Linked DNA regions of Astyanax mexicanus. The protein of the gene in region 1 binds, or shares a complex with, the protein of each later gene. Links are inferred from orthologs where the notes say so. Each region holds a gene or a part of one and is shown on either strand. Other genes may lie near its edges. The genes, in order: rpl8 and riox1.

Region 1 (16,128 bases):
CAGTAAACTAAGGAAACAAACTAAAAACTGAAAAATAATTTTAGTATTGTACAAGAAATGTATTGTAAAAAAAAAAAAAAAACTGAAAAAATCATATCTTTTTCTAAAGAAGAGTAAGTGATTTTTAACAAACATTTCATTGGTTAACAGCTTAAAGCAATAGAAATAAACTGAACTTTGGAATTTGATTTACAAAAATGCTAAAAAGCCTATCTATGTTTGTAAAGCACTACTGAAACAGATTGTGTTACTGCACTCTCTATTGCAGCATTTAAACAGCACAATTTGGAAAATTACATATATAAAAGACTTCCTGATACAGTAGGAGGTCTGGCTGACCCACATGGCAACAGCGCCTTTACCTCAACTTTACATTGGACTAAGTCTCAGTTTCAGCAATTAAGAGAAGAATTAGAGGTCTGACAGGTGAAATGCAGTAATAAAGTTATTGATAATGCAATACTAAAAAATAAGGGTGTTCTAAAACTTTTAACCGGTACAATATGAAGTTAGCTAAATTATTAATTAAAGTTAGTTAAGGTAATAATTTAGTTTGTTACCTTAAAGTTAAAGTTTACTATGAAACATACTGCTAACTGCAGCTAATGTTTTGTGATAATAAAAGTAAATATATGGTTTTAACAGTGACTACATAAATGTAAATGCATCACATGTATAGATTTGTTTCTGGGCATGTATTAATATATATATATATATATTTTTTATTTATGTTTAAGGTTGCATATTCCTACACATATGAGCTAAGGCCTTACCTGGACTTGCTGCTACAGATTTTGCTCATTGAGGACTCCTGGCAAACCCATAGGTCAGTCTACGCTTTTACCGCTTCTAGCAGTTTTTAATGTTATTCATTTTTTAAACAACATTGATTAACTAATTTGGTGAAAATGACTCAATCTCTCCAGTATCTTCAATCATTTTCTGTATTTCGCACCAGGATACACAATGTGTTGAAGGGTATCCCAGATGACCGTGATGGACTGTTCGACACCATCCAGCGCTCTAAAAACCACTACCAGAAAAGAGCTTACCAGTGCATCAAGTGCATGGTAGCTTTGTTCAGCAACTGCTCAGTAGCTTATCAGATCCTTCAGGTAAAACAAAGTATTAGTTATTAGTTAGTATAAGCTATAATTCAAGGCTGCACAGTGACTAAATTGATATATTGATATATTGATTATTGTGATCACATCCTCATCACCGTACCCGTCTGTTGTTTTGTGTTTATAGAGTAATGGGGACTTGAAAAGGAAGTGGACCTGGGCAGTAGAATGGCTTGGTGATGAACTAGAGCGCAGGCCATACACTGGTAATGCTCAGTACACATATAACAACTGGTCCCCTCCTGTCCAGAGCAACGAGACTTCCAACGGATACTTCCTCGAGCGCTCCCATAGTGCCCGCATGACCTTAGCCAAGGCCTGCGAGCTGTGCCCAGAGGAGGTATGGAAACCCCAATTCTTTCACTGAAATAAATCATGTAACAGTACATTTGATTACATTTTAAAAGTAGATTTAATATTGGAAGCTTGTAGTAACTAGCTTACTAGCTCGTAACCATTAGAACATCATTTGTTTTAACTGTTTTCCAAAAAAAAAATTGTTTGTTATTGAGAAATTTATGTTGAAGTATTTAGATACGAAATTTTATAATAGAGACGTGCCTTAGATAATATTCTGTTTATGAAGAGAGGAATGCATTAATTGTACATTTAACATTTTTAAATTAATTTGATTGCAAAATGCTAGTGCTGTATTTATTTACTATAGATAGGGCTTTGAGTTTTCGACAATTTTAATTTCCAGATTTTTCTTTTCCCAGTCAAAGTGTAGATATTTTGCTGTTGGCGTTTATGTAAATGAGTAGTTTTATTTACTGTGTATTTCATTACTGTTTGTTTAATTTTTTAAAAAAGCTTAATTTCTTTGATTTGCTAAACCAAGTATGCTTCGGCCTTTTTTTTAGCGTAGCTTAATAAATGGCCGTTTGACAATGTTCCATGTTTCCAAGCATAGAGCCACTTTTGACATCGTTTTGACACTTGTACAGTGTACAGTATGCATTATTAACTGCCATTTCAAACTAGTGTCACTTAATGAAGCACGAGGTGGTGTCTGAAGAGGACGCAGGCCGGAAGCCGTCCTCGCCACAGCAGCTTTTGCCAGGGGAAGTGACAGGCCAGCAGCAGCACACTGTAAGATTCGTATGCCCCGGCCACACTGGTGCCATCTGCGTAACCTCTTGGTGTTCACAGGGCATGGTGTAGCCAAATCCATTACCTTCTCCCTCTAGCAAGCAGAAAACACAGCTCTCTAAATAACTGTTAATCTCTTGTCCTCATCTCAATGTTTTTTGAACTCAAACTGTTTCTTCCTTCCTGACTCCAAGTCTTAATGTGTCACACGCAAAGTGATCGAAAACTCTAAGCCTTGGCTATAGTGTATTTGGTGACTGTCCTGTTAAAACCTGTTAAAAGTGTGTGTGTTCCAGTGCTATTTTTGTTTTGAACGTTTATTTGTTCTGATGTCTAACCTTTAATTAACCGGACACACACTTACCCAAAATTGCATGATGACTAAATAAGCTTGATAAAAGCTTTAGTGTTACAAATCAGATTTGCTTTATGACTTTTTTTGCACATAGATCAGTATTAAATACTGAACATAATTCATACTGCATGCAGAGAGAAGTGACTTGTTAAATTTTAGCCAGCTCTTTTCTGTTTTTTTGCCATGTTACCTTAAACTTAACATCGCTTGTCATGTTGAACAAGTCCTGTTAACTTTATCGTCCAGTGTGGTGTTTGTGTGTGTGTTGTGTATATTATACCCTCTTTATGTCTTCTTGTTTACCATTGGTTCCATGTGATTTAGCTGTTTAATAGTAGCGTTGGTTCTATTTGGAAGTCTAGTGTTTTAATGTTAAACCCAAATATACTTAAACATGTTCATCTAATGCCAGAGAAAAGTTTTAAAAGTCCAGAAAAGTTTTTTTGTGTAAAATTTAGTCAAATAATATACGTATTGTTGCTGTCACACAAAAAAAAACTTGTATTTTCAATGGAAGTCATTGTAAAAATATTTTATTCCATGAATAATACTGGACAGATAGAATCTATCTCTAGTAGATTTATAATGGGAAATGAACAGTGTGATTTTTTTCTTTTGCAAAAAAAAAAAAAAAAAGGAGTACCCTGAATTGATAATTAGAGGTATAATATTGTTGGCAATATTCTAAAATGGCAATAATTTTGGGCACGATTCGATATGGCACACCCCTAATTCCAAGTCACTGGAGCATAAATTGTACCATGATAATAAATGGACCAATAATAATAAAGCACAACTGCCAGATTAACATGCCTTCAAAAAGTCAGTATAGGCATTTTTTTGTGTGACAGTGATGCATTTAAATATATATTTTGAAGAGTATTTTTTGCCAAGCTCTTTTTTTACATGTCCTCATACACACACACAGGCACACGCCTTCTAGAACTAAGTCTTAAACATATCTTTCTAAAATGCTCTCTTGTGCTGAAGTTTTTTTTATTGACAAGCTATTGTTCTTTCAGGAGCAGGATGATCAAGATGCCCCTGATGATCAGGAATCTTCTCCACCAGAGGATACCTCCCTCTATCCTCACTCTCCAGGGACCCAGTATCAGCAGGTAACACTTTTTTTTTTCTCTTGCCCATAATACAAGCTGGCTTGCTCTAGGGCTCCCCCTATGGTCAGAAAGTTAGTTCACACTTTGAGACACCACTAAAGGCTATTTTCAAACTGTCAGCCTAGATCCGATATTAGGCATACATGCATTGTATCCAGATTGATTTTTTGATAGCCTGGACAGTAAAAAAAAATATATATATATAAATTCAGATTTTTACAGATCTAAATCCCATAGACCGCTGCAGTCATACATCATTTTGTAGTCCCCATATTTGGTGTTCTGTGTCTAAACTCAATGAGCAGAATGAATGGGCTTTTCAAAAAATCACCTCTACCACATTCTGTGTGGTACAGTATTCTCCTGAATATCACTGGATCCTCTGAAATACGAGATTTATTGAGATGTTTTTACAATAAAGCTATAATTACGCTAATGCTACATCACACTGATCTGACAGTATGAAACAGTGACACAAAACACCAGCAGACTTTTATAGATGTAGCACCCAGCAAATTCCTGTCATATTGAGTATTGGATTATTATTCTTATTCACAGAGGATTATTAAAGTAGTCAAATGAGTATTCAAATTCAGATGTTGAAAAGTCAAATAAGAAGAGATAGTGAGCAATACCTGCTGGAGGGACCTTTTTTTTTTTTTTTACTGGTTTTATTGTTTATTTATAGTACAACTAATTCAACCAATCAATGAACAAGCCCTCAATGAGGTGAGCTGGGTGTGTTACAGCAGGGAAATGCTGAAACAAGCAGGACTGTAGTACCCCAGATCCACATTCTGCCCATAGAGAAATTCCTCTTAGACATCGAAAATGCCAAATATGGACAAAAGCAACATGGCTCCAGCTAAAACAAAAATGATTATGAATGCAATGGTCTATTTAGAGATGCAATGCCTCATTTTAGGTTTTTTTTTGGTCAGTTGCCTTTATTTATTTATTTTTTTTCGTGTTTAGTCTGTTTTTGGATGTTCGTATTTAATAAATTCGAACATCGAATTTATGTATGGTATTATAAAAATCATAGTTACATAATTGCTTGGTAGCTACACAAACTTTATCACTTCATTAAAAACTTATTAAACAAATGTTGGACATGGGGTAAGGGGGAAATGTTTTTGGGTTTATGTGGTCCTTAATAGAAAAGCTGATTTTAAAGTGAGTTTGATCTGGTATTTGCCTTTTCCAGCAGAACAACCTTCCACACGGCCAGCCGTACACAGGCCCAGCAGCACAGCATATGAACAATCCTCAGCGCCCCGGCGTACGAGCACAAGAGAACTGGGAGCCCACGGAGGAGGTTCCACCCGCCCAGACAAAAGAATAGCACCGCGCTTCGACCCTGTCCTCCACCCGAGCGTTCTCTGGAGTCGACCGATCGACGAGCGAGGCCAGGCCCCACCATGCAGCGTCACTCCAGAACCCGCGTATCCGGAAAACTCCGCTCCCTGTTCTTCTGACCCTGGGGTGGAGCATTCACTGTCTGCCCTGCAGTACTATAACCCGCCTGCAGTGGACTGTGTATGGTGTTGTAATAAGCCAGGCCTGATGCACTTGTCTATTATGACAGCGATGTACATATTAATGTTTTTTTTTTTTTTGACTGTTCAGAACCATCAGCACCTGCTGTTTGGAAACTTGCGGATTTATGAAAGCAAAATTGAAAACTATAAAAACAAACCAAAAAAAAAAAAGACAAAAAGTAAAAGACAAAAAAAGAAAAATCCAACCCTGTTTTATCACCTGTACTCAGTTGTGAGGTGTGGTCTGCCTTTTGGCCATTTTGGTCATTCAGCTCTAAGTCATTTTATCCACGTCAACTCTTACTTAATCTAATCCGCCTCTGGAGCTAGAGATGGTTGTAGTTGTAGGCATGATAAGGATGGAATGGATGGGATTGGAGGGGATGGGATGGGTGATCCTCCTGATGCTAGGCTGATGTGAAAATGGTGACACACCAATGTTTTGGAAACTTACATTGCCTTTCTTTTGTTCTGGTATTAATTCAATCATTTGACAGCTCTAGTTAATATGCTGTAACATTTTTAGCATGGCTTCACACCGGACTAGTGTAGCCAAAAGGGAAAATTGGGATCATAACAGCTGCAGTTCTGAATCCACAGCTATTAAAGAGCCTCCCCCCTCCCTCATCTAAGACTTCTACATTGATTTTTAAACCAATGTAGGAATTAAGTGGCTTCTCAATTGCACATATATATTCTCAAACTTAACATTTGGCAGTCAGTTTTTGGTGGGAATAGATGGTTACTTTTTTTTGTTTTGGAATTTATAGGAATTTTAGAAAGAGAAAATGTATATGCAAAAATTTGCTATGCCGGGATGCCTGGAGCATTAGTGGACTGTACTCAATTTGCTTGTTTGTCTCTCCTTGGTTGAACCTTGTTTTAGACAAACTGGAATTAAAATAAATAGAAAGAAAAAGATTGACATTGGCCACTAAAGTTGACAGCAGATGCTGTCTGTTCACATTTGCTTATTCTACTTGAACATAGGCTCCGTCTGGTCTGGGGACTCTCTTCATTGGAGCGGAATGGACATAAAAAGCACGGTTGTACCATAATATAACTGCTGGTTAGTCGTGTGGCAACTTGAGCTAGGTAAAGTACTATTCTCTAGGAGTAAAGGTAAACAGCAGTCAATACTGTATGTAATTGGTAACTTGAATGCTTTTTTTTTTTTCTCTTCGATTGTTAAAAAAATACCAAATACTCCTGCAAATGAAACTGTTCTGCCCACCATATTATATTTAAATATTTTGCTGTTTTATTTTATAGAATTTATTTTGTTGTATTTCACTAAAAGAAAAATAGAATTTGATTTAAGAGGAACATTTTTGTCCTTGTGTTATTTTTAAAGATATTGACTGTACAGAGTTTTTCGCCCTGTATTTGTTTTTTTGCGCCGACTTCTGTTTTGGCCATGGTGACAAATTCTGGAGCCACAGTCGCGATGTTAACTTTCACTTTGTGAGTTTTTTTTGTGCACAGATACTACAGACAGCATTGCGCCCTTCAAGAATAAAGAAATTGAATCTTGAATGTGGTGTGTCTCCTTAAAAGTCTGCTTAAGTATTTACAAGTACTGGTGGAAACCACAGCAAACATTTGCAGTGTGCACCTTTTCTGCTTTAAGCAAGATCAAGAACCAGTGAATTTAGCTGCACTAGTGCAATTTTCTAAAGCATGACATATTTTCCCCTTTTGACAATTGTCCACTGTCAGAAACTTGGACATCTTTCCATGCACTTGATTTACACTCAAGACTTGTGGAAATCCTCCAGTAAAAAAACTAAAATACCCACTCAGAACTTCAGAATTTGAGTTTTAGAAAAGAAAACTAAACAAGGTAGTCTTTTGATGGATATTTTATTATGAAGAGACACTTTAGTTTTCTTTGTCCTGGACGGTCTTTGTTCCACGCAGTCTGCCAGTACGACGAGCAGCGATGAGACCGACCTTGCGTCCAGCGGGCGCGTCCCTCCTGATAGTTGAGGGTTTGCCAATGTGCTGATGGTTACCACCACCGAAGGGATGCTCAACAGGCTGTAGGGGTGAGGGGGGGGGGGAAAAACAGGCCAGTTAGTACATTAGTGCAGAAAAAAAAAGTTTTTGTTTTTTCTCTTTTCCTCATTAAAACCAACCAAATACTTACATTCATAGCCACACCACGGACACGAGGCCAGCAGTTTCTCTTGACCTTGTACTTGTGGTAGGCACGTCCTGCCTTCAGTATGGGTTTGTCGATACGACCACCACCAGCAACAATACCTGTTGAGCACACAGAACAGTGAATGTTTATCCTCCTGTATACTTTAGAACTGGTTTAAACTCCATCTCACAACCCAGCACTGGTACTTTAAGTTTGTAAAGTGCCAATGTTGTTGCAGTGTTATGTGCACCTGATTCAAGTTCAATAGATCAGTAGAACAGCATGTGCTGCAATGATCTTCCTACCAAAATCTCAAATTCATACTAAAACAGGATTAACCCAACGGTCAAACTAATTATTACAAATGATTAACTGTGTAAACGATTATTTTAGTATTTTTGTCCTGTTTAATTTTACTACCTTGATCTATTCTCTACAAGACAGCCGATGACAAACTTTCATATATATTTCCAGATGCAGATAAAATGTTACTTGGGTGCTTCATTTCTACTTCAACAATGTGGTTTATCCATCACAGTACAGCAAACCTTAAAATCATATAAGGAACATAAGGCTGCTCTAAATCCACACTTATAAAGGGCATATCGACGCTGTCCAATAAAAAACAAGCATCTGCAGAACAGCAAATTTATATGAGAGAGGAAAAAAAAAACTTTCAAGCCAAGTCAATGTAAAAAGTGTTTTTCCCAGCTCATTTTGAAGTACAGTTTGTCTGTTCAAATTAGTAAACAAATTTGAAAAGATGGAGATACTCGTTCTCCATTGGACAGCGATGATATCCATTGCTAATATTTCAGCTGTGAGATTCAGACATTTCTGATTGGACCTTATTTGACCCTTTCCTGATAGCATCTGAAACAACAAAAAAAATGTTGCTAGATCTGACTTTCTCCTGATACCATTCAAAATGCCCCTTTTTACTGAGGCCCAATAGTGCAAATGAACACAGATGTCCAAACAATAGTAATAATTCTCAATGATTTAGCACATCTGAGCTCCTTAAAGTCAAGCCTATATGTCCAAGCTAACCCTAGTTATAAACACGGTCATTAACCAAGACTGAAGTACGTAACCATGCCTTCCAAAACCTTTCCAAACTACTCACCGACAACAGCTCTGTTAGCTGAGGAGACGACTTTCTTGGATCCAGAGGGGAGCTTGACTCTGGATTTCTTGGTCTCTGGGTTGTGGGAGATGACCGTGGCGTAGTTTCCGGATGCGCGGGCCAGCTTACCCCTGTCTCCAGGCTTCTCTTCCAGACAGCACACAATGGTACCCTCAGGCATGTTGCCGACAGGCATTACATTGCCAATGTTCAGCTGGGCTGTAGGTCATTCAGAAGAATTTAATTTTACTAACTTCTCTGCTTACAAGCAACATGTAACATACAATATACAAAGTGATTGCGAATGAAACATACAGAAAACTGGGGAGCACCGTTTTACCTCTCTTGCCGCAGAAGATGAACTGTCCAGTGTGGATGCCCTCAGCTGCAATGAACAATTCAGTCCTTTTCTTGAACCTGTAGGGGTCACGGAACACCACCTTGGCCAAGGGGGCTCCACGGCCAGGGTCGTGAATGATGTCCTGTATTAAAAAAATGAAACAATAAAACACTTAGGGGGTTTGTTTAGGCTTAAAACTACTAATGTCTGGCCAACAATACAGGACAACTACAATTATTTTTTTCTTCCTGACAACCACAAGTTTTTTTTCCTCCATTTTTTCAGTGATTGAAAACTACAATCTTTCCTAATTATCCTGTAGTATGTGGTTTCTTCAGCCCTCCAATCTTCTCCCAGAGCAGTTATTCAACCCCACTTACATGGCAGAAATTATTAGCACTGTTCACTACATTTCAGCCATTTTTTAATCAATACCCCTCTCTTTTTCTGGTGAGAAAGCAAACGCTGTTGATGAAACTGAGTGCGCCTGATCTAACAGCATGCAGTTTTTACATTTTAACATCGGTCAAGATCTAGAAAATCCTGTACTACAAGCCAGACAAAGGCCAGTAACAATGAAATTACTCATTTGCACACATTTACATCCATTCTTACCTTCACAATTCCCTTAATGTAGCCATGGCGCTCAGCAAAGTCAATGTGTCTGAGCTTAGCGGCACCTTTCCTGAGCTTGACGTGGGCTTTGAAGACGGAGCCCGCACCTTTCCTCTGAGCCCTGATCACACGTCCCATTTTCGGGTTCTGCAGGGGGAAAAGGAGAGGTCAGATGTTTGAGTTAATGGCATTCGGATGGCAATCTTAAACTATTCAGTGCTATACAGAAAGAGACCGATATGTTTTGCTCAAGGGCTCCTATTGGCATGTGTGAACAACAGGTAGGAACTAAATTAACCCAGAAGAGCCTAGATCCATTTTAAAATATTGATGCCAAATTATGAATTGAATCGGCTCATTTGTGGGTTTTTTTTTAATTTATTTTAGGCATGACTTGATATTTTCAAGGTTAAAACGCTGTTGTGACAAATGACAACTGCATTTAAAAGGGTCTGTGATACAGGTCACTATGGGCTCTTTTGGATTAACAATCCCAGAAGTGCTTCTGGTCATTTTATTCTAAAAACCTAGCTATATGCTTATTTGGAGTTTTATCTATTAACGGTATAATATTTAGTGAAACATATAAGCCTACTGTCTGTAAACAAATACTCCTGACTATATTTAATATATATTTATTTAATACAGCTAGCTAAGTAACTGAATTCAGGAAACACACTGGTAGTCAAGCTCCATGCATCTAACTTAAACTGTAATTTAAGTTCTGTGACAGACTGCGTATAAACAATAATTTATACATATACACATCTCTCTCACTATATACTATGTGTATAAACAGTAACTGTTATATATACACGGTAATTAATTACATAAAAGATAAATATATTTAATGCAGCTAACTCAAGCTAAGTAGCTAAGTTGACTGAATTCTGAAGTCTCACATTGGTTAGCCTAGCTCCATACATCTAACCATGACTATTATAATGTATGTTTGGTCACACACTAAGCAAAGAGCAATATAAAAGAGTATATAGACTTTATATTACAGTAAATACATCAGGAATTGAAGGCCATCATCCAGTAAAGACATAAGGGCAGCCAACATTAACATTAGCTCCTCAGCCAGCTCAGTTAGCCTAGCTATAACCTGCTATAGACCTAACTTACATACAAGCTTAACACTGGGCTCTACACGGTTCTAGTTTAATTTACACAGCCTGTGCTCCATTACTAAAAAAGCACAAGGCTAAATAAACACCTAAATTAACTGAAAACAACTCTAACAACGATACAAATACTAACACTAACACCGGTCTCTCTATATCACTACTAAGCGCCTCACAGCGAGGCCTTGCCGCGTCTACACTGCAGAACAACTCAGCCCTTAAAAACACTGAATTTAACTCAAAATCACACCGATATTAAAAGACATAAGAGGGTGAACTGGGGTATAAACGTCTCCTTAACGTTTAAAAGGTGATTTTAGGAGCGGATGGCTAAAATAAAGAAGTGATTTAACGCAGATGAAGCGGAGAGACAGAAAAACAGCGCTCTTACCTAAACTCCGCTGAGGGGAAAAGGAAGCGCAGCGGGGAGAGAGAGAATTTCTTCCGGAGACGAAGAGAAAAAGAAAGAGGAGGAGGAGGAGTGACCACAGCGCCTCTCAGCGGCCTCCCTCATATATATACACATACACCACCTCCACCTGAGAGGGGGTTTAATCTCTCCACCTCCTCCTTCTTCTTCACATGCACCATCCACTTTACAGCTCCACTGAGCTTGCACCAGTGCATCTTAAAAAATAGAATATCATTAAAAATCTACTTTATTTCTGTAATTCAGTGTGGTTGGTGTGGCACAGTGGATAACACCACCGCCTGCTTATGAGCTACCACATCATATGAGAGACTGAAGTTCAATTCCCGGTCTGGGTGACAATGCTTTACTACATCAATAAAAGTCCTTGGGCTAGACTCCTAACACTACAACGCATCCCAACTCTGTAACAGGAATAACCTTGTAAGTAGTTTAAAATGTTAAACTCTCTATATATTAATCTCAATGTGTTACACACACGATCTATTTTAAGTGTTTATTTCTTTTGTTGTTGATGATTATGGCTTACAGCCAATGAAAACCCAAAAATCAGTATCTCAGAAAATTTGAATATTATATAAGACCAATCGTACTTTTGACAGTGTGGGCAGTGTGCCAAGTCCTGCTGAAAAATAAAATCCACACCTGCATAAAGATTGTCAGCAAAGGGAAGCATGAAGTGCTGTAAGATTTTCCAGAAAAAACACTGCACTGACTTTAGACTTGATAATAAAACACAGTGGATCAACACCAGCAGATGACATGTCTCTCCAAACCATCACTGATTGTGAAAACTTCACCCTAAACCTCAAGCAGCTTGGACTGTGTGTCTCTCCGCTCTTGCTCCAGACTCTGCTCCCTTTATTTCCAAATAAAATGCAACATTTACTGATGATCAGTGATTGTTTGGAGAGACATGTCATCTGCTAGTGTTGATCCACTGTATTATATTAAGTCGAAAGTCAGTGCAGTGTTTTACAGCACTTCATGCTTTCCTCTGCTTCCAGCAGGACTTGGCACACTGCCCACACTGCCAAAAGTACCAATAAAAAGTATTTTCTGTTAAAGATGTCATTCCGCCTCAGATTTTTACTAAAAGCTGATGAACACTCCCTAGTGTAATGCTGCCTACGCAGACAGGATTTTGAGACAGGAAGCCACTGTAAAACAACTGTAATCTGGCCTTCCATTTTTTTTTGGGTGAAATTCTAACTGTGAATGAAAACACAGTTAAACCTTGGCAGCACCAGAATGTACGGTTTCCTTTTGAATCAGATACAGAGACCTTCATAACATCACGTCATTCAAGTGAGACTGTGTCGGTTGCAAGGCATTTTTTATAATGACAGAAATCACAGTTTTCACATTTTATGGACACAAAAGGAATAGTTTTTGTGCAGATATTATGTTTCTGTTTCTAATCAAATTATTATTTAAATTAAGAATCTTAACTTCAAGTTAAGATTATATATATTTTTAAATGTAGAGTGATCTGACGTTCAAGTTAAAGTATATGAAAATGCAAACATTTGTTTTATTGTAACTTTAAAAATATCTCTAAAGTCTTAAAGTCTTAATATATATATATATATATATATATATATATATATATATATATATATATATATATATATATATATATATTCTCAGTGGGCTGGGATGGCATTGAAACAGTGTAGTGTAGTGTAAAGACTGGACAGTAGAGGGCACTGCTGGATTATGATTTACCAAATTCATCTGTTTTCATTTTTTCAACCTGTGTTTGGTCTCTCTATGCAAAACCCATTAGATTTAAAAATATATTTTTTCTTTATAGTCTGGATCACTTTATAGGGAAAAAAATAAAAAGATTAAATGAGAAGGTACTGTATATAATTATTTTTGTATTATTTAATACATATTTATACACTATAAGAACATGGTACAAGCTATAAGAATATAAAACAAACAATACATGCTCATTTTACTTAAACATATACCAATAAATAACAAAATCAGAGAAACTGGTTCAGAAAATGAAGTGGTCTCTTATTTTTTTGTCCAGAGCTGTATATCCTTCAGGAATCTTGTTATTAATCTAAGTGTGGATATGATGAAATATCACTGTTAGTAATCATAATAAGTACAGCAGCTCCTCGTGCTGTGTGTGTATAGGGATTGTGTTTAAAATATATATAAAGTTGTATATTATTAAACTGTATTTAAAGCTGAAGTCTGTAAGTTTTGGGATTTGGGGGATTTAGTGCCCTCTCTGGTGAGAATGCGTAATTGCACCGAGCATGCGGAAGAATCATTTTAAACTGAGTGGGTGTGATGCTGTCTCCTTTCAGAGTGAATGAATCCGATTCCAGGTTATGTTCAGTCAGAAAATGCTGAGGGAAGTGTCTTCAGAAGATGTAAGAGAGTTACAGTTTTATATATGGATGTTAGTTTTGTCAGTGTAAATGAACAAGCTACTGAGCTCTGGGTTTCCCCTTCTGAAGTCTCCATTGCTCCACCAGCCGCTCGCGTTCAGTAAAACTGAGCCGGATCCTCTTTTAGAGGCTGAACATGTGACGTAAGACGTAAAGATGAGTGGAGTGACTGTGCCAGAAGAACTCAAAAACCGCAAAAAGCGACCCAACACCACCGTTTTTAGAATGAATATATTAGGCTTAGCAGGGATGGTCGTTCCAACACACTGGTACATTTAAACACAATATTTTGTCCCTTCTACACTCAGAAATGCTTCTGCTTTTAGTTTAGAAACAAAATAATATGTACTGCCACTTTAATTAGTATTTCTGTTTACACAGCTCTCACACAGCTCTGTTGCTGGGTAGAGTTCCTCTCGCGATATTTCTATATATCCGTGTGCTGCTGCAGCAGCCAATGAAATCTCGCGGTGCTTGTGTTCCGAGAACAGAACGTCGCGAGGCGCCGCTGGTGGACAAACGAGCCGGTTACAGTTAAAAACCTGCCGCGCCGATAAACTTCGGGCTCGGGTTTTATTATTATAACCGTCGTTATTATTGATAACCGAGGCTGTACGTAATAAATTCGTATTAGAGGAATTGAGTAAAGGCGCTGGGCTCGGTTTTTGCGCATTCGTTGTGGAATAAACGAAGAGAAGAGGACGAGTGACGTCGTTTCTAAAGGAGACTTGGCTGTAATCCCTGCGCTATCTTTAGGTTAGCTGACCTGCTAACAAAGAAAGTCTTGTGTCAGAAGGAGAAATCCCCACTCATTTTCTTTAGTTATGAGTCATGTGGTCGTCGACAGCTCACACGGTCTAGATCAGCAGGTAAGCGGGGTCATGAACGTCGTGTAGCGGCTGTAGATTATTCAGTTACTCGCTAATTTTGCACTTTATTTCAGCAGGATTCTCTATCGGCTGTCTGCAGCCTTGTCGGTGTTCTGTCAAATTGTGCTACTCTGTCAAAACGTGCGACCATAACATAGTGAAGTTAGCTATATAACCTAACCATTTAACGTTAGGTAAATCTGCCTAAAAACAAAACAAACAGTAACGTTAGGTAGTTAGCTAGTTAACCTACTTAGCTATGATATTTCAACATCAGCATCGTGTCAGATTCTCCCAGCTATAGTTGTAGTTATAGCTATATAAAAGGTGTTTATTGTTTAATGACTGACTGCACCATCTATGTTAGCTAACCTACTGCACTGTTCTAGATTGTATCATAGTTTTATAGCTACCCTTTATAGCTATATGTGCATATATCAACTCATATCCAACCATTCCTGTGTATTCGTTCCTTGATGGTAGCTGTTATCTATTTAGTTAGCTAAATACTAACCTAACTATCTAGTTTAATTGTGTTTTTTAACGCTCTATGGCATGATATTATTACACCACCCCATCCCATACCTTATTTTTGATGTATGTTATGATATTTCTGTTTGTTTATATTCTTACAATATTCTTACGTTCTTTTAACATTAACCACGTAGATCACGTTTGTAAGGGACAACAATATAAAGCAGGGGTGGTTAATATAAAAAAAATTCCAAATAGTGGTGCTATTTTGTTTCCTTCCTAAATATACTGTTCATGCAATAGAGGGTTAAGCTACTAGTTGCTTTAATTTCCTTCGGGATCAATAAAGTATCTTATCTATGTATGTGTCTTATCTGTTTATCTAGCTAAAACAATTTTCATTAGATAAGCTAACCTATTTGGATAACATAATTCATCACTAGCTTGATAACCTAACTATTAAATATTTTAGTTTGAATTGCCATTTGTTTTAACGCAAATCAAGCCAATGCTAGTTGACAACAGGCAGAATTACACAAACTGTAAAATTAATTCAAATAAAAGTGAAATATCACACAACATAAATAAATATGGGTGTGCGCATGCGTAGAGCTGCTAAGTAGCTCATATCAATAGATAGCACGACTCGACAAAACACCGGGAGGCAGTGTCATGTTTCTTGTGCAGATGGTTTAGATAGGCTAGCGTTAGTTAACTAAATTTAATTCTGACAATTAACATAAGCCTTGTGTAGTTTATCTAACCTGTCGTTAGCTAGATAAGCGTATTTAACCTAGATATCTGCTCAGAAAATCGAGCTAACCTGGTTTCTTTAGCCAGGAGTTGCTGAATGCTGGGTTGCTGGGTTAACTTTGTTGTGAGCTGGAAGATGTGTTTTTGTCTCTGCAGTCACTGCAGTATTTCGTTAGTAAGCTGTCATAACAGATCTGTGGTGATCAGGGTTAGAGAGGAGCTGGAATAGGATCAGTGCGACAGGCAGCTACTGAGTTCACCCCCTCCCCCAACAACATCTTGTCACCACCACTACCACTACCACCACCACCGTTCGTCGGACATTTTGTTCGCCTGATTATTATTACACTGTGCAACCTGCAAGGAATTAAGGCATATTTAATGATTTTATGATCTATCCGTGCATATTTAATCTGATGTTGAATGCAGTGTTTCTAGCTAATCGTTTACAGTGTTATTCACTCAGCACCAGTCAGATCACAAGCAGTGCACAGTGTATGCCCAACAGTATGGCAGGCCGTTTCAGCATAAAATCACTAGGGCTGGATAATCCAGGTCCAGAAGTGAAAATCCACCCCAGGATTTTGTTTCAATTACCTGGACA
Region 2 (16,128 bases), on another chromosome or scaffold:
AGCCCTCACCTTGTCAGAGTTTTGAACTCCCATGAAGGAAAGGTAATCAAGCGGCAGCCCTTTTCGAAACTCCACATCCTCCTCCATCGCCATTTCCAAAGCTGCTGGCATCACCTGTCAATCACAAGGGATAAACATAAACACAAGTTCCAAAGTCATTAAATAAAATATTTCCACATCATTAAATGTTAAGCATGACACTAGACAATCTCTCTGCTATGTTTTCAGTTCATTTGACTGTGCTTTCAGTTCTGCGGCCTATTAGATTTAGTACATTTCTGGACACAGTGGCATATTTTGGTTTAGCACACTATTCTTAATTATAATTTTCTACCAGCTCTTTATGCATCACCTTAATTTAACCCACTAAAGTCCACAAATTTGCTGGCCATCTCAAAGTCTCTATTTATATCTTTGCAATAATACAGTGCAGAAATATGGTTCAAATATTTCCTGATCATATGGACTCTGCTCTTTTAAAGGCATCATTCCAAAATAGCAGGTCACTGTCAACCAGAGCTATAATGCTATGATGAAGGGTTACGGATTTCTATTGTGCCCCAGAGCCTAATTTTTAATTTTAATAGTTTATTTAACAGGGACAGTGTACATTAAATAGCATTACTGTAAATGCACCAGAATTAGCCTAAAGGCTATTTTTCATCCGTTGTCCCCGGACAGATCTGGAAATTCTTTTCTATGCTGAAGAAGCATGTTAAATTAAATGGCTGCATCTAAAGTTATTTCACTTTTAAACTAAACAAATCAATAAGTGCTTAGATATTTTATGAGAGTCTTTTATTCGGTTTCACACAAACGATAGACAGATATGGACCAATTAAGAGATAAGAGGAAGATGACAGAGACACACAAATCTATCAGTTGGAGAGGAAGAAGGCAAGTTCCTTATTGGCACTGCATTATCAGCAATATGTTAACAAAAGCATCAAAAGTACCGCATCTGCAAATTTGTCATTCTTTTAAGGCTAATAGCTTATGTTTTTTTCCTGGTTTCTGACAGATTCAATCAAACAGCAACTTGCAATGGACTTTTTATTATTATTTATAAAACAAAGAAAAATCCAAAATTGAATATTTCCATTTAAGCTCACCTTAAGTAGCAGGTCACCCCAGCTGTTCCTCTGATAGGAGGAGATGGTAATGTGTAAAGAATGAGCATCTGGGAGACAGTTGCCTTGGTGAATGAAACCCCGTGGAAAATAGAGCAGGTCACCTGCCTCCAGAACCACGTCCAATATGGGCTTTCCAATCTCATTCTGACTGAAATTAGCTTCAGAGAGCAGTAGAAATAAGAATTATACAAAATCACATTTCTTCAGTGTTCAGTTACTAAAACTTTACTTAAAGATTGACAAAGATTTTTACCAAAAATAATAGTAAAAACTGAAGAACTACTTACGACTTGACACGAGAGGTAGTGTTTCATCTTCAGACCTGCAATACAGCAGAATGACAGTTTTGGAGCCAGTAGTTAAGATACCACTAAAACAATGCCATTGAACAGCTGATCACACTTGGAGGAGAGCACTAACTGCTAGTTATTTTACATCAGCTAAGAGACACCTGCTCTGACTAGCACCACACTAAGTCCCATCCTTCCCTATTCAGAGAGAGATCTTTGCAAGCTCCAGCAATCTCTCAATGATGCGCCTGATGCTTTTCTTTTATTTCAAAAATATATATATATATTATTGCATTTCTTAAAGCTCTAATACATAATGAAGTTATTTCACCTTGCATAACTTACATAAACTGTGACATCCATTTAAAGCAGCAGACCATTAAACCTTAAGATTTTGTCTTTCAAATTTAAAGCATTTAAAGTGTTTGCGTGAGAAAGGGACAACATTTTTATAATAAATAGCATCAGTGTGCTTTAGCTACTATTCCTGCAAAGCCCTATATATATTAATTTTATAAATAGGGAGTCAGGTAAGTACTAAGACATTTTTCTGGATAGAACTGATTTTGCTGGTTACCTGAGCAACCATGGTGGTGCTTATGGTGCTGATACAAGAGCTACTGTGACCATGGAGATATCAGAACAGCACATCCAGTCTTCATCTGCTCATTCACTTATTTATTCATCTGTATCTTTTTGTGGGCCATCTCCTACATTTTTCTTGCACTTGTTTTTTTCTTTGAGGTCACCATATAACCTTTGTGTTGGTTTATCTACCAAAACATTGTTATCATTAATTTTGACACAATAATTTATTTTTTTGCAATTTTGATAAAATTCCAAAACAGTACTTTCAAATCTGTCTGTTTTTGCTGTTTTTCTTAATGTATGGATTATGAGAATGGAAAATTCCTTTCAGCTTCGAAACGGTAATATATGGTAAACATATACAGTTGCTCCTGTGAGTGTCTTGTGACTCACCGTGGGTTATACACTCTCCAGTGCTTCTTCCCTTCTAACTGCACAATAAATGCTTCAATGTCATCATAATGAGGAGCAAAGCCTTGTGTTCCTGCTGGAGTCAGGTATCTGCAAGTAATTAATATTTAAAATATGAAAATGTGAGTCAGATATATGATTTTTAAAAACAGACAAAAAACATCTATATATGTCCCTCATATGAGATTAGTTCTCTTACACGTTGGCTCCTGCCATGCTGCCAAACATTTCCTGCAGGATGGACAGAACATTCCATACAGTGGAAGAGAAGGCTTGAGGGTTGAGCATCCTGAGAGAACAGCCACTCTGAGAACAAAACAGAACAACACACACATTAAATACTGTCATTAGATATGTGCTAATATTTAAAACAACACTGTTATTAAAATGTAATATATTACAGAGAGATTGTTGTAAGAAAACACAGCTGAGTATTATTTTATAGGCAATGACATGTAGGGGGTTTAGCATTTCAGTTTCTGACATACACACACAGGTTAGCCTAGACGCTTTCAGGGCTGGTTTTGACCGTGGCCTTTCTGCTGACGAGTGCAGCACACTGAGTGACTGACAGAGTCAGAATCACTTAGCATCACCGAAAGCTGGAAGATGACGTGACTGGTTTCATTTATACAAAAAAAGTCATCATTATCTATAATTCAGGCTGACATCAAAATCAGCTCCAGCTCTGTTCAGGAGTCTGTGGGGTCTGCTGCTGGAGTCTAATAGCATCGCTTATTATTCAGTATGCAGAAAATACAGTAAAAATATATAAATAAGGTTTGGAAGCACTGAGCTATGAAGCAGTGGAGCAGTGGAATGTTCTCTGTTGAAGCTTCACCCAGTACTTCTGGGATGAGCTGAGGATGATGTGGCGTGGTGATCATCCAACATCCTGACCTTACTTGCACACGTGTCACTGACTGTAAACAAACCCTCACTCTGATAAAAGAAGGATACATCATTTTTTCACCCTTCATTTAAAAAGACAAAAAAAACAACAACTTTTGACCACTTTGTGGCTCATGAGCATGTTTTATTTGGCAGAAAATTACCAGGGGTGCCTAATCAAGTGTACTGTTTTTGGGCACCAGCCATCCAAAAACTTTACACCCCAAGACAAAAACTTAGACCCCACTAATGTAGAGTATGTGTACATCCAAAGTATCCAGAAATTCTGCCAAATCTTTTTTTTTATATATATAAAATTTCTTTATTGAGCAACAACAATACAAAGACTCAGAAAAGATGGGGCGGACCCAAAACATGAAACTGGCTCACTTGTTTTACAATTTTCAAACCCCACCCACCGCACCTCCCACTTCTCCCTCTGCCAAATCTTTTAGCTGTAATATATATAGTATAATATATATAGTATATATATAGTATAGTATAGTATACAGGTGCTGGTCAACGAATTAGAATAATTTGAAATAGTGCAATCATGAAATTTTTTGAATGCATTTTTTGTGCAGAAAGCAAATCAGGTGTTCACCGCACCTGTCCTACTCGATAGACTAATCACAGAACTCGTTACCTGGAAAAAAATTTGCTCAGCTGAGCTTTCCAAAAGGCCCATTTAGGCCATTTAACTGTGGCACTGTTGTTTTATTGAATTAGAATAATGGACAAACCGTTTCATTGAATTAGAATAATTTTTATTATAATTACAATCATCACTTTCTCAGTATTTTGTGGCTGCCCCCTTGGCTTGTATGACTGCCTGAAGTCTCCGCGGCATCGATTTGACCAGCTTGTCGCAAGTTTCCGCACTCACAGCTTCCCAGGCAGTGGCGATGTTCTGCTTCAGTTGGTCCAGCGTAGTAGGCTTTCTGTCGCGAATTTTCCGCTTGACGATGGCCAAAAGGTTTTCAATGACATTGAGGTCAGGCGAGTTGGCCGGCCATGCCAAAACTTCAAGCTGTTTTTTAGTGAACCAATCTTTGGTCGACTTTGCCGCATGAGCCGGTGCAAGATCCTGTTGAAATATGAAGTCTTCTTCGCAGAACTGTTCCTCAACAGTCGGAATCAGGAACGTTTCCAGAACATCTTGATATACGGCAGCATTGACGGTCTTCTTGAGGAAGCAGAGTTTCCCTACACCTCGAGCGGACATGCATCCCCAGTCCATAATGCTCTGGGGAAACTTGACGGATCTTTTCACGCACTCGTGGTTGTAGGTTTCGCCACCACGACGCCAGACACGAGGACCTTGGTCACCGAAGGAGATGCAGAAGCGTGATTCGTCACTGAAGACCACTTTCTGCCAGTCTTCAGCAGTCCACTCGCCGTGTTCTTTGGCCCACTTCAGCCGTTTCTCCATTTGTTTCTTGTTCAGCATCAGTTTTACTGCTGGAACGCGAGATTTGAAGCCGAGTTCGCGCAGACGACGGTAAGTGGTTGATCTGGAGACGTCAGCGCCGGTCTGCTTGTTCCACAAGTCGGTGAGCTCGGGAGTGGACTTGAACCGGTTGCTGACTGCGATCTTTCTCAGCTGCTTGTTGTCGCGAGCAGAAGTTTTTCGGACGCCGGAACAGTTGGTGCGCTTGCTGCAGTTTTTCTTGAGAGCTTTGCAGACGGAAGACTGGCTGATGCCGAGCTGCTCAGCAATTTTAGTTTGGGTCAAGCCTTGTTGGCGAAGGGCTTGAATTTGAGCCACTATTCCGGTTGAGAGGTCACGCTGCTTACCCATGATTGATTTTACAACTTAGAAATTCTACTCAACCCTGACTTTATACTGCACAGTGAACACTCTTCACAGAAAACAAAAATTCGAGCATTTATTCTAATTCAATGAAACGGTTTCTCCATTATTCTAATTCAATAAAACAACAGTGTCACAGTTAAATGGCCTAAATGGGCCTTTTGGAAAGCTCAGCTGAGCAAATTTTTTTCCAGGTAACGAGTTCTGTGATTAGTCTAACGAGTAGGACAGGTGCGGTGAACACCTGATTTGCTTTCTGCACAAAAAATGCATTCAAAAAATGTCATGATTTCACTATTTCAAATTATTCTAATTCGTTGACCAGCACCTGTATATATATAATATATATATTAAAAGAGCGGAACCAAATGAGCAAATGCTTTTTCCAAAATCTGTCTAAAAAAATCAGCATAAGATATAAAGATACAAATATAAATACAAAACGACAGCACTGCATCTTTAATTGTTTTCCATTTACTAAAGAGATTAATTTTTTCACACATTAAGTTTAATTTTAAAAAAAGTTTGAAATATTCCACTTCAGGAATTTGTATAGAAGTCAAGGTATCCATATTTTAGTAATCTGGCAAATGGCAATGATTAAAGAAGAGATTCATATATCAGAACTGTAACATACCTCATAAAAATCCCACACAGTATATGGCAGGGCCCTCCCAGGAGGATTGTGTGTCTCTCTTTTGCCATTTGTGTAGCTGGTTACATCTAGATTTACCCCAAACTGGACATTATCCTGAGTCAACATGAAGAAGATTAATAGAACCACACATTATACAATTAACCATAAAAACTATTACTGTTTCAAGAAGTGCTAACAAACACAGGCTATATTTAATTGCAGATTAATAATCCAACTAACAGATCAGAATCAAACCCTTACCATAATGTCTTTCCAATTTGATACTTTGTTAAATGAAAGAATATGCAGCATACAAAAAAATGACTTTTTAAAAACATGGACAGTGCAATGCAGCACAGCATTCAGGTTTAAATGTAGTTGTTCATATAAACTTTTCTATATATGCATGCACATTAAAAATCAGTTTTTCAGAGAGGGATCAAGTCTAGTCATAGACTACATTTTCCTTTCAAGGGAAAATCTACATTCATAATGCTGTGTAACCAAGACTAGGCTTAATCCCTATCAGGGAAACTGAACAGTGTTATACTGAACAAAACAAAAATAACTGAATGGCTGGATTTAAACTGCAGAAATTAGTGTATATGTGAACATTTCATTTAGGAATTTCCATTAAAGCTACTTAATTTGGAAAGACTAGTTAACATGTTTGTATTTGATTACACAGACATACTTACATTTCTCAAAATTTTGTCAAACTCCGCTGTTGAGAAAAGTCCCTGGTAATACTCTTGGTTCTGTCGTTTGATCAAAAGTGGCTTTTTCTCCCAGTAGTCCCTACAAAAAAAAAAGAATGTAATAATCATAACATGTAAAAAAAAATCTGTGCTAATCTGCCTGGATCAGCATTTCAGAGACTACTGGGGGTGGGACAATACATAAACAGCAATATATGCTGTATAACATTCTTGTTCCATACATTATTGATATGGTATGTAGTGTCAAACACAGATATTAGTTATTTTGTATTTGTAATCATAGTTTGATGTCTTTTTTTCCTATAAGCTTATATTACCCAGTTTGAAAGATTTTGGTGTAGTGTAGTTGTGTAAATTCTACGCATTTTAACTGCAGCAGAAATGTTCTAATTCACGTCAGTTTATGGCTATTTTACAACACTGGAATAACGCTACAGGTGAAAGAGGTTCAGTCAGTTTATTTGTATTAAAGAGACATAAGCAAACCAAGCTTGGCACTTTGTTGTACATTGCTTTATGTTGGTTGTCAAATTCTGTGAAATTAATGCCAATAAACACATAATTCTGTGTCGCAAAATGCAGTGTCTTAAAATAGTTATTGTGAGCACTGTATGTAATTCCCTGTGTTTCCCATCCAAATAGAGTCTTTTTAAGTAATATAGTTAACTATATAAGAACATATCCGTCAAATCTAATTTAACTTATTCAATATCCAATAACTGACAGAGTATTACATCCATTACAACATTAAAAACAAATGTTGAAATGAAATGTAAATGAAACAATAGCCTGCGCATCACTTTAAAAAAAAGAAAAACTAAAAACCGTAATCAAGAATCGCTCATAATGATGGAAATTATTTTCTTTTTACAATATCGCCCAGCCCTAGTTTAAAGGTTGTGTAGTTGATCATTTAAGCCTCTAGACCAAAATATTCACAATCACATCTCAGACCAAAACATGTGCTTCATATTCAGCCACACCCTTCCATTCAGCCACGCCTCCCTCCTCCTGTTTGCATTCTCAGTGCTGTTTTGCTGTTAAGCTACATAACAGTTGTGCAGTTTTACCTGAAGAAGGTTTTGGCCGGATGAGGATGGATTATCCACTGGAAGAGTCTGCTGGCTCTCTCTCTGCTGTTGCTGACTTTGTTGAGATTGGTAAGGACTGTGTGAAGACTCTCAGCCTTCACTGGCCCAAGTCCGTTTAACGGACACTGCTCCTCCTGCATCGCAATTGCGTGATTAGTTTAATGCATTCAAAAAGCTTCAAAACGCTATAAATGGTGTGAAGTTGCAAATACTTACAGCTGAAGCCTTTTCTGAATTCTCCTCCACCTTTGCCTTTTTGTTGAGAGTTTTAATCTTTTTCTTGGCTTTCATTTCTGGTTCTGTATCATTGTTTTTCCTCTTTTTCTTCTTCTTCTTCACTTCTGCAGCAGAAACCTGCAGAAATCAAGTAAAATTCAGTTGTTTTCTAATTCCTGATAAACAATGTTAATGTATGTTTATATATCACAGGGTTAGAATCTCAAAAGCCAGTGTAATTTAAATAGACTGTCCTAATTCACTCCATTTTTATCTAAGGTGAATTTTTATTATTGTGTAAAAAAAAGCTGCAAATATTTAAATATTTAAAAATAAATAAATAATTAAAATACAAATTATTATACTTTTGGGATTTTATGAGTGTGGAAAGAAATTGAATTCCTTCTCATGCCAATTGTAGTCGATCATATTGAGCTCTTAATTACTTTCTAATTCATAATTTTTTTGTTGTTGTTGTTATTTAATGTTTTATGGGTTTTAAAGTAACTGTAATGTACATTAAAATAACACAATCAATCTCTTAACAAACAAGCACTAGTGTTACAATCACTAAAAGATCCTATGAAATAAATAAAGCAACCAATGCAGTAGTATGAGAAATGTTACATAGCTACAAGTCAGTCAGACTTAAATATTCTACTCTCTTGTCCCACATTTCATAGTAGAATTTATATTTTGGGTTAAAAAATATTTTGGTTCTGTTTTGTGGGTCCAGCTCCTGAACTGATTGGCTGTAGCTCACACCATTTACTTTGGGACTTTTAGATTTTTATTACACAATACAAGTTTTTAAAAAATAACTGTTCTCTGTTTTATTCGTTGATTACATTTATCACTGCGGAGATTTAGTGCTTTATTTTACAGCAAAATAATACAGAAAATGTGAAGAACAAAACAAATCTTGGCTGGAGTAACTGGTAATGAAGTTCCTCTGCAGGTCTAGAGGTTAGAACTCACTGGTTCAGCTGCTACTTTTGTTTTTCTATTCAGGCTGTTTTTGTGAAGGTGTGTCCATGTGCTGTACTTATTCCTTATTTAAATCGATGAAACGTTAACTTTCAGAACTCTTTATATTAATTAGTTAATCGAGTCACATTTCTTGCTAAAGTTACCAGACTAACCCAAGCACACCTTTATACACGGAGACACGGTGTATTTAACGCCTTAAAGCCCCCTCTGCTCATATTGTAAATGACAGTGTTAGATCAGGGTGTACCTGTGTCTGTGCTGAGCTCTTTGCCAACGACTGATAATAAGCGAAGGCAGACATGCTTCTCTCCACGCTGCCATAAAGCACTACACCACGAGCACAGCACAGCAGCAGGGCAGGGCTCAGCGGAGCTGGGTTACCAGATCCCGCTACCAATTCCCCGTTGAGGGTTTCAGTCATTTAGTCATCAACTACATTTTTTAATACAAATAGTGTAATTAATTCAATTTTCAAAAATAAAGTTTAACATATATTTTAACTACTACACTAACTATAGGAGTACTTTGATCATTTCACCATTGTGAATTACTTAGTATGTGATTCATCTTTTAAAATATATTTCTAATATATAATTTTAAATTATGGCTGTATGATATTGTAAAAGCCAATATTGCAATGTTTTGTTGTTCTGTCACATATATTTCGACATTAAACAATTTTCACAAGATTTCTCCAGATGTCAATGATCCAATATGATATACGATATCAGTTATGCCCTCGGAAAAACACTAAAATGTGCAAGGAGGAGATGTGTCTGCACAACCAGGGTTGAATGGGTTGAAAAGGGTTAAAGAAACAGCTTTAAATTAAAGCAACCCGTATCGTGGATTGATGTACTAAACCTGGCAACCCAGGCGGTGTGTCTCTCTCTCCGTGTAACCGAGCATGAGCTGAGCATGTGTTACTGCCGCCTGCTGCTGTGGAGCACAAAAGGGGCTTTCATCCTTTTCCCTACATAATGTTCCAATGTTATCTTATAGATTCTGTACTGTAAAAACACCATGTTAAAAAAAAACCATAATATCCACTTTATTAAATCATAGCATTTAAAAAGAAGCACAAATACACTCTATCGTGTTTTAGTACAGTTAGTGCTACTACTGGAGCTGGTTCATGGAGAGCCTGCGCACTCCCTAGCTGTTATTTTAGAAAATTACCGCACACCACTAGTGGGAGCCCGCGAGTAAGTCCTCAATGGGGATGAATGAAGCTGAATGGCTAAAAGCTCAAATTAAAAACAATAATTAACTTTTGCCTGGGATATTTCTTTAATTATAGAAAGTAGAATGATATAATCACCAAAAGCCAAAGATAACTTTCTACAGCAAACGATTTTTGAAGAACATTATTTATTTATTATTAATTTATTTTGTCATATACTCCATATACTGCAGTGCATTTAAAAGGCTTATAACTGTTTAAAGGGGCCCTGACTTTTGCTGACTTCACCTCAGCCTAAATTTAAAAAATGCTAAAAGAAAAAGGAGAGGTTGTTTGAGCGAGAAACTGGGTGATGTATAGGTTTAGAGGCAGGGTAGGAGGGAGAGATGATTGGCTGAGCTTCAGCAGCATTGGCTACCGGAGCCCTGAGAGAGCACAATTGGCCTTGCTCTCTCTGGGAGGGTAGATGGCGCTCTCTCCGCACATCACTACAAAGGGTGATGTCAGTTGGCACAAGGCGTCTGTAAGCTGATGTTTTGGGACTAAGTCACTCCGAGAGCGCTAGATTTTCAGCAATGCTGCATTAGAAGCAGTTAGAAAAGCGGCGATGGCTGACTTCACATGTATCGGAGGAGGTATGTGCTGATCTCCACCCTCCTGGTGGGCATCGGGCATGATAGGGGAGTCCTAATGGTCATGTAAATTGGGAAAAAATGGAATAAAAAATAGAAATAAAAATTACAAAAAACTAGCACTATAAGCCTGTTAGGTGCATCAGCTAAAAGCACTGTATTTTGGAAAGCTGGGGGAGAATGAAGGAGAATGAAGTTCGTACTCGTTATCATGTTTTACTACAGCCCATTTCCATTTCACACTGAAATTCTCCTTTAAATGTGTATTCTTTTCTCTAGAGGTCCTCCGTTATGAAGGGGGAGGCGTGCGGGCACGTGGCCACCATGTGGCGCTAGTGCACCATGCTGTAATGCTCAAGCAATGCAAACAGTGGCCGTTCCCAGCATGCACCACCGCTCGCAGTGTTTGCAGAGCTGGATCTAGCTATCTAACAATGCTGTGCGGGTCCGGGGAGAAGCTCTGGGAGGTTACACGGCTGGAGGAGGTGTAAGGGCTGGGTGTGAATCAGCTCGTGTGTGCTCCGGGTCGTCTGTACGGTCCGTGATCTGCGGCGGATCTGTGCGGAGACGTGGATCTGCTGCTGCTGCAGCGGAGCTCCTTCTTCACACACCGGGGTAAGAGAGACGCAGCTCACACACATCTCCTCCTTCCACTGCTAACGGGGTTAGCTGGGCTAGTGGTGGCTAAGCTATCTTAGCTGCTTCTGTGTTATTGTTTAGCCTGTTGTTTTAGATCCTAGAAAACCTTAAACCCCTCAAACACGAGCCGGAGGAGCGCGTTAAAGCGCAGCATATGGTCTTGTGTGAACGAAGCTGAAGTTGTCTGCTTGTTCCAATTGTTCCGTTCCACCTTAAATGGTGCGGCACGTACAGCAAAGCGCCCGAGGCACCTCACCGTACGTGCCGCACCATTTAAGGTGGAACGGAAAATTTCTCAGAAACAGCCGAATTCAACCCAGTTTATCACCATTATCTCGCCATTTTCTGTCGTTTCAGTTGTTTTGTGGTTTAAATCAGAACGCGAGACAGATTAATACTTAATCTGAAGTGTGTTTTAATCCTACAGACCCAATTAAATCGATGCTGCTTCGCGTTAAAGCGGCGTCTGGCTGGATTTGACGTTCCTGTAGCTTTAGCTCGGGTTATAACTAACCTGCGCACAGCGACCGGAGAGCAGACCCACAGAGACAGATGTAGCTCAGGTATAGACATTAAACTAACTAACTAGAGTGTTTAGGAACAGTCCAATAATTCGGTTCAGATCTTTACACACATCTGTAGCCTTCCACTGCTGTTAGCGTATTGCGTGTCTTGTACTCTAGGCGTTTTTAGCTAGGTAGTTATCTAGATGATTAGCTATTCCGTACACAAATATTAGTACAGGTTCAGTTTTTGAATAAATCTGATTGTTTTAGCTCTTCACACATCTTTACATATACAGCTCTAGAAAAATTACTGAAGACTGTGATTTTGTTATTTATAGGTATATGTTGACTAAAATGAACATTGTTGTTTTATTCTATAAACTACGGACATTTCTCACAAATTCCAAATAGAAATATTCTTATTTAGAGCATTTATGTGCAGAAAATGAGAAATAGCTGAAATACCAAAAAAAGATGCAGAGCTTTCAGACTTCAAATAATGCAAAAAAAAAAAATCCTATTCATAAAGTTTTAAAAGTCCAGAAATCAATATTTGGTGGAATAACCCTGGTTTTTAATCAGTTTTCATTCATCTTGGCATGTTCTCCTCCACCAGCCTTACAGCCTGCTTTTGGATAACTTTATGCCACTCCTGGTGCAAAACAGTCGAGCTTGGTTTGATGGCTTGTGATCATCCATCTTCCTCTTAATTATTTTCCAGAGGTTTTCAATTTGGCAAAATCAAGGAAAAACATAATCATAAAGTGGTCTCTTATTTTTTCTTCCAGAGCTGTCCTTTGAATAATAACATTTGTTTAAAATGAGTGCCAAGCTGTAACAAATAATAGAAGTGTACCTAATTAACCTAGGTAGTTAGTTAGTCCTTTATTTAGAGTTGTGGGTAGGAGACTTTTTGTGGAATTCGTATTTACTTAAAGTGTGAACGCTCTTCAGAGAATTGGAGAGTTCTGTTTCATTGGTGTTGAGATATAGTTTAAGAACTGTAAGCACAGTTCTAGCAATTAGCAAAGTGTGATATTGTTATTGTATTAGACATTTTTGCGTATTTTCCAGCATGTGTATGTTATGTTGGAAATTAGTATTTGTTTATGCATTCTTGGGTCTGAATGTATGAAATTTCCTAATTTGTGAAATGAGTGTTTGTTTAAAGTGGCTCTGTTGAACATTTAGAAAATGGTTCTATTTACTGTGAGCATTTTGCTCAGAACTTAATTAATTCACAATTGCTCAATTTGAGCATTTTAAATGTATATATTATGTAACAAATATGAGCCGCCTGTTCAGAATTTATGAGCATTCAATGTAATATAAATTTTGAGTTAGTTAGTTAGTTAGATAGTTAGATAGTTAGCTAACTGAACAGATGTAAGATTTAAGTGTTGTCTGGACTGAGCTTCCTGTTTTTTTTTTTTTTTTTTGACTGTTATGGCAGCACTTAATGCAGCTTGGTATGAGTATTCTAACAAAATTAGTTTGAGTGTTCTTTTCAAAGTCTGCATTCCAGGTTGCTTTAAGAATTAGTGTTATATTTATAAACTCTTTAAATGAATGCAAACTCAGCTAAAATGTTAGAGTTGAGAGCAGAAGACAACAGTTCTCAGGTGCTCTTCATCCCTAAAGGCGCATCCAGATCACTGCGCCTTATCTGTTAGTTCAGCCCCTCTTGTTTACAGCAACTGAAATGTGTTGGCACATGTCAGCTGGGTGGGAAATTTGACACGAAGTTGGACACAGACCTGGAAATATGCATGGAATTTTTATGTCAGTGTTCTGTGATGCAGGATTTCAGTGATTTGTAAATATGTGTTTATTTGTTATGTTTTGGTAAGGAGTCACAGGTTTTGTATTGATCGCATAGTAAAAAAGTTTCATTGTTCTGCAGGAGCTGTAGTGATTCTTTGTACCGCAGCTCCTGGAGTCATTGATCACCGGGGGCTGTCCATCTGCTGCGGCACACCGGACGCATATATTCATGTCAGTAGGCGGAAACATTTTATATAGCACCAGATGAATAATTGCACAGTATTTATCTACGAGGAAGCAGGACATCTGCACAAATTCCAACCTCTGAAAAATGCCCTGCTGAAGTCAGCTGTGCTCAAGGATGAGTCTGTGTGAGATAAATGGTGGTTCTTGTGGTGTTGGCACGGGGCTGAGCTGTGAAGTGTGTGTGTGAGAAAGAATTTATTCAGGCTTAAACTTCAGCTTTAAATATCCCAAACTGCGTAAGCCACTTTTTTTCCCTTCCTAACTGCCCCCCATCCCCCGTTCTGTTTTCTTTGCTTCCCAAACACATGCTCATCATATGTGATGGCAGCAAAGTGAAACTGGGCTGGTCTTTGCATCACAAAACTAGGAAAAGCACAAATTCTCAATTTACTTGTTAATACTACTGGATAATGATATGTAGACTAATAGCATACTTAATGCATACATTTGTTTTAAAATTGCATATTCATGTTGTAAAATACTAATATATGTGATGATCATTGTGAATGTGTTTGAAGCTATAATGATAACTTAATGCCAACTTATATCATCATAGATAGTTCTACTTGTAAATGCTAATGTAGACAGTAAATTTGCAAAATGTGAATTTATTACGTGTTATCATTGTTTTTAGCATTGCGGTTATGGTCAGATTATGCTAGACCATGCCATCATATATGGTAATATAATCAATGGCATTCGAGACTTTGGCCACTCCTGGTCAAAAACAAATATATATATTTTGAGATTTTACAGTTCAAAATACCAAAAAGGAAACTGGCCTGAAGCAAAGAATTGGGCAACCTGCATGGTCAGTGATTAGTAACACCCAATTTGGCAAGCATCACAGCTTGTAAATGCTTTTTATAGCAGCCAAGAGTCTTTCAATTCTTGTTTGTCTGTTTGTTTGTTTTTGCCAATTCTCCACTACTAAACACTTCATTCTGTAAGGTTCTTCTAGCTGTTTGTATGCACTTCTGTTTTGAGGTCTGTCAGCAGATTTCCGAGGATGTAAAGTTTGAAAGACTGTGAGAGCTTTTGCCAAACAAAAGTTTGGACCTTTAAAAGTTAAGTTTAGAATCATTATCCTGCTGTAGAGGCCTTTACGAAAAAAAACTTTTTTTCCCTTTACAACTGAAATGTTTACTGTGGTGCAGCACAACCCCAGAGCTTGATACAGTCAGGAAGTGAAATTTGCACGCACTGCACCGCATTTCTGAAGAAGTTGAGGGATATATCACAGAAAGTAAAAGATTCACGTGGACTTGAATGTTAGAGTAATAATACAGAGTTAATACAGGTAGTGCAACTAGCAGCCCAAAGTAGCAATAAAAGAGATGGTATTCTTCCTATTACAGGCCAAAAGAACATCAGTGTGATTTGATGGTGCTTGTTTAGACGTTTTATCAGTATTAAAAGGTTGCCTTTGTGCAGGCAACTAGGGAAACATATACCTCACTAAATTAAATATCAACCATTCTAAGGTGGGTTATGATCAAATCATCAGTAAGCATAATAATCAGCACTAAGCATGACTGGCCTGGATCTTACAGTGTGTAAAATTGATTTGATTTTAAACAGATTCTTTACAATAAATGAGTTTTTATAAATCAGCGTTTCAAACAGGGGTGCATGTTATGGCTGAAAAAAAGCAATGTACGACAATGCTGTTGAAAATCCTGATTAAATTTGGATTTTTAATTAGTTTAAGCTTCTCAAAAGATTTTTTGGTAATTGGGGTGGCTGCACTTGTTTTTTTTCCCCAGGGTAAGATGGGTAGTTTGCTGAGTGTGTTCACTGTGGACCTCTACCTCACTCTACCTCCAGCCTCTTTGTGTTGCTGAACATAATACAGCTTTAAGTCTGGCGTTCACAAAGTTATTGCAGCTCTTTAGATGTGTTTATTGTGAAAACCTATGTCTCAGTAACACTAAAACTCTGATGAACTGTTCACATCTCAACTTCTGCATTACACAGAAGTTCTCTTTAGTGCACGGTTGTCTCTGGACTGACTGTGCTTGTGGAGATTTGTGAGAGTTGGTGGAAGCTGTATTTCATATTCATTCCTGCTGCTGTTCGGCATGTTTGCGCCCCACCAGCTGCGTCCCTCGTTATGCGGGGCAGGACTGTTGTTCCTCCACAGCATTTGAATGCACTTTTCCCCTCGGGGGAAGAAATCATGCTGCTGTCCCACAATCCCGCGGCGTTGAGCTGCGCGGGCATGCAGTGGGCTGGCAGCTGTTGGCAGCGGGTGAGGAATTGACGAGCTTGGCCAGGGCTGGGAAAGGGCCTTTAGGAGCCAGCCCGGGCTGCTATGAGTAGATAACACATGGTGGATTTGACTCATTTGGATGGGCGCTTTTGGACGAGCATGTGAAT

Evidence for each region.
Region 2: the proteins of rpl8 (region 1) and riox1 are in contact, whole or in part, in a crystal structure (PDB 4CCN), measured with the Homo sapiens proteins. The link is inferred for Astyanax mexicanus from reciprocal best matches to the Homo sapiens genes RPL8 and RIOX1. Residues at the interface, in NP_000964.1 of Homo sapiens: Gly213, Gly214, Asn215, His216, Gln217, His218, Ile219, Lys221, Pro222; in NP_078920.2 of Homo sapiens: Gly259, Gln260, Arg272, Thr274, Arg297, Met322, Ala323, Gly324, Ser325, Asn326, Tyr328, Phe337, His340, Asp342, Ile344, Ser374, Asn376, Thr419, Ser421, Thr422, Gln424, Tyr577.

The regions. Positions count from the first base shown.
Region 1 is NC_064418.1:5,901,627-5,917,754, reverse strand, and holds rpl8 (60S ribosomal protein L8), read right to left. Parts: upstream 11,097-16,128; 5' UTR 10,976-11,096; intron 9,605-10,975; 5' UTR 9,596-9,604; coding exon 9,458-9,595; intron 8,985-9,457; coding exon 8,843-8,984; intron 8,722-8,842; coding exon 8,503-8,721; intron 7,496-8,502; coding exon 7,380-7,495; intron 7,271-7,379; coding exon 7,112-7,270; 3' UTR 7,078-7,111; downstream 1-7,077. Other genes in the region: usp9 (probable ubiquitin carboxyl-terminal hydrolase FAF-X), read left to right, coding at 738-826, 959-1,115, 1,252-1,464, 2,109-2,216, 3,594-3,689, 4,897-5,034; ddx3xa (DEAD-box helicase 3 X-linked a), read left to right, coding at 14,253-14,297. UniProt on the Homo sapiens protein: Component of the large ribosomal subunit. The ribosome is a large ribonucleoprotein complex responsible for the synthesis of proteins in the cell.
Region 2 is NC_064408.1:84,758,343-84,774,470, reverse strand, and holds the start of riox1 (ribosomal oxygenase 1), read right to left. Parts: upstream 9,201-16,128; coding exon 9,027-9,200; intron 7,928-9,026; coding exon 7,790-7,927; intron 7,708-7,789; coding exon 7,553-7,707; intron 6,562-7,552; coding exon 6,462-6,561; intron 5,878-6,461; coding exon 5,764-5,877; intron 2,729-5,763; coding exon 2,622-2,728; intron 2,513-2,621; coding exon 2,405-2,512; intron 1,456-2,404; coding exon 1,421-1,455; intron 1,292-1,420; coding exon 1,113-1,291; intron 115-1,112; coding exon 10-114; intron 1-9. UniProt on the Homo sapiens protein: Oxygenase that can act as both a histone lysine demethylase and a ribosomal histidine hydroxylase. Specifically demethylates 'Lys-4' (H3K4me) and 'Lys-36' (H3K36me) of histone H3, thereby playing a central role in histone code.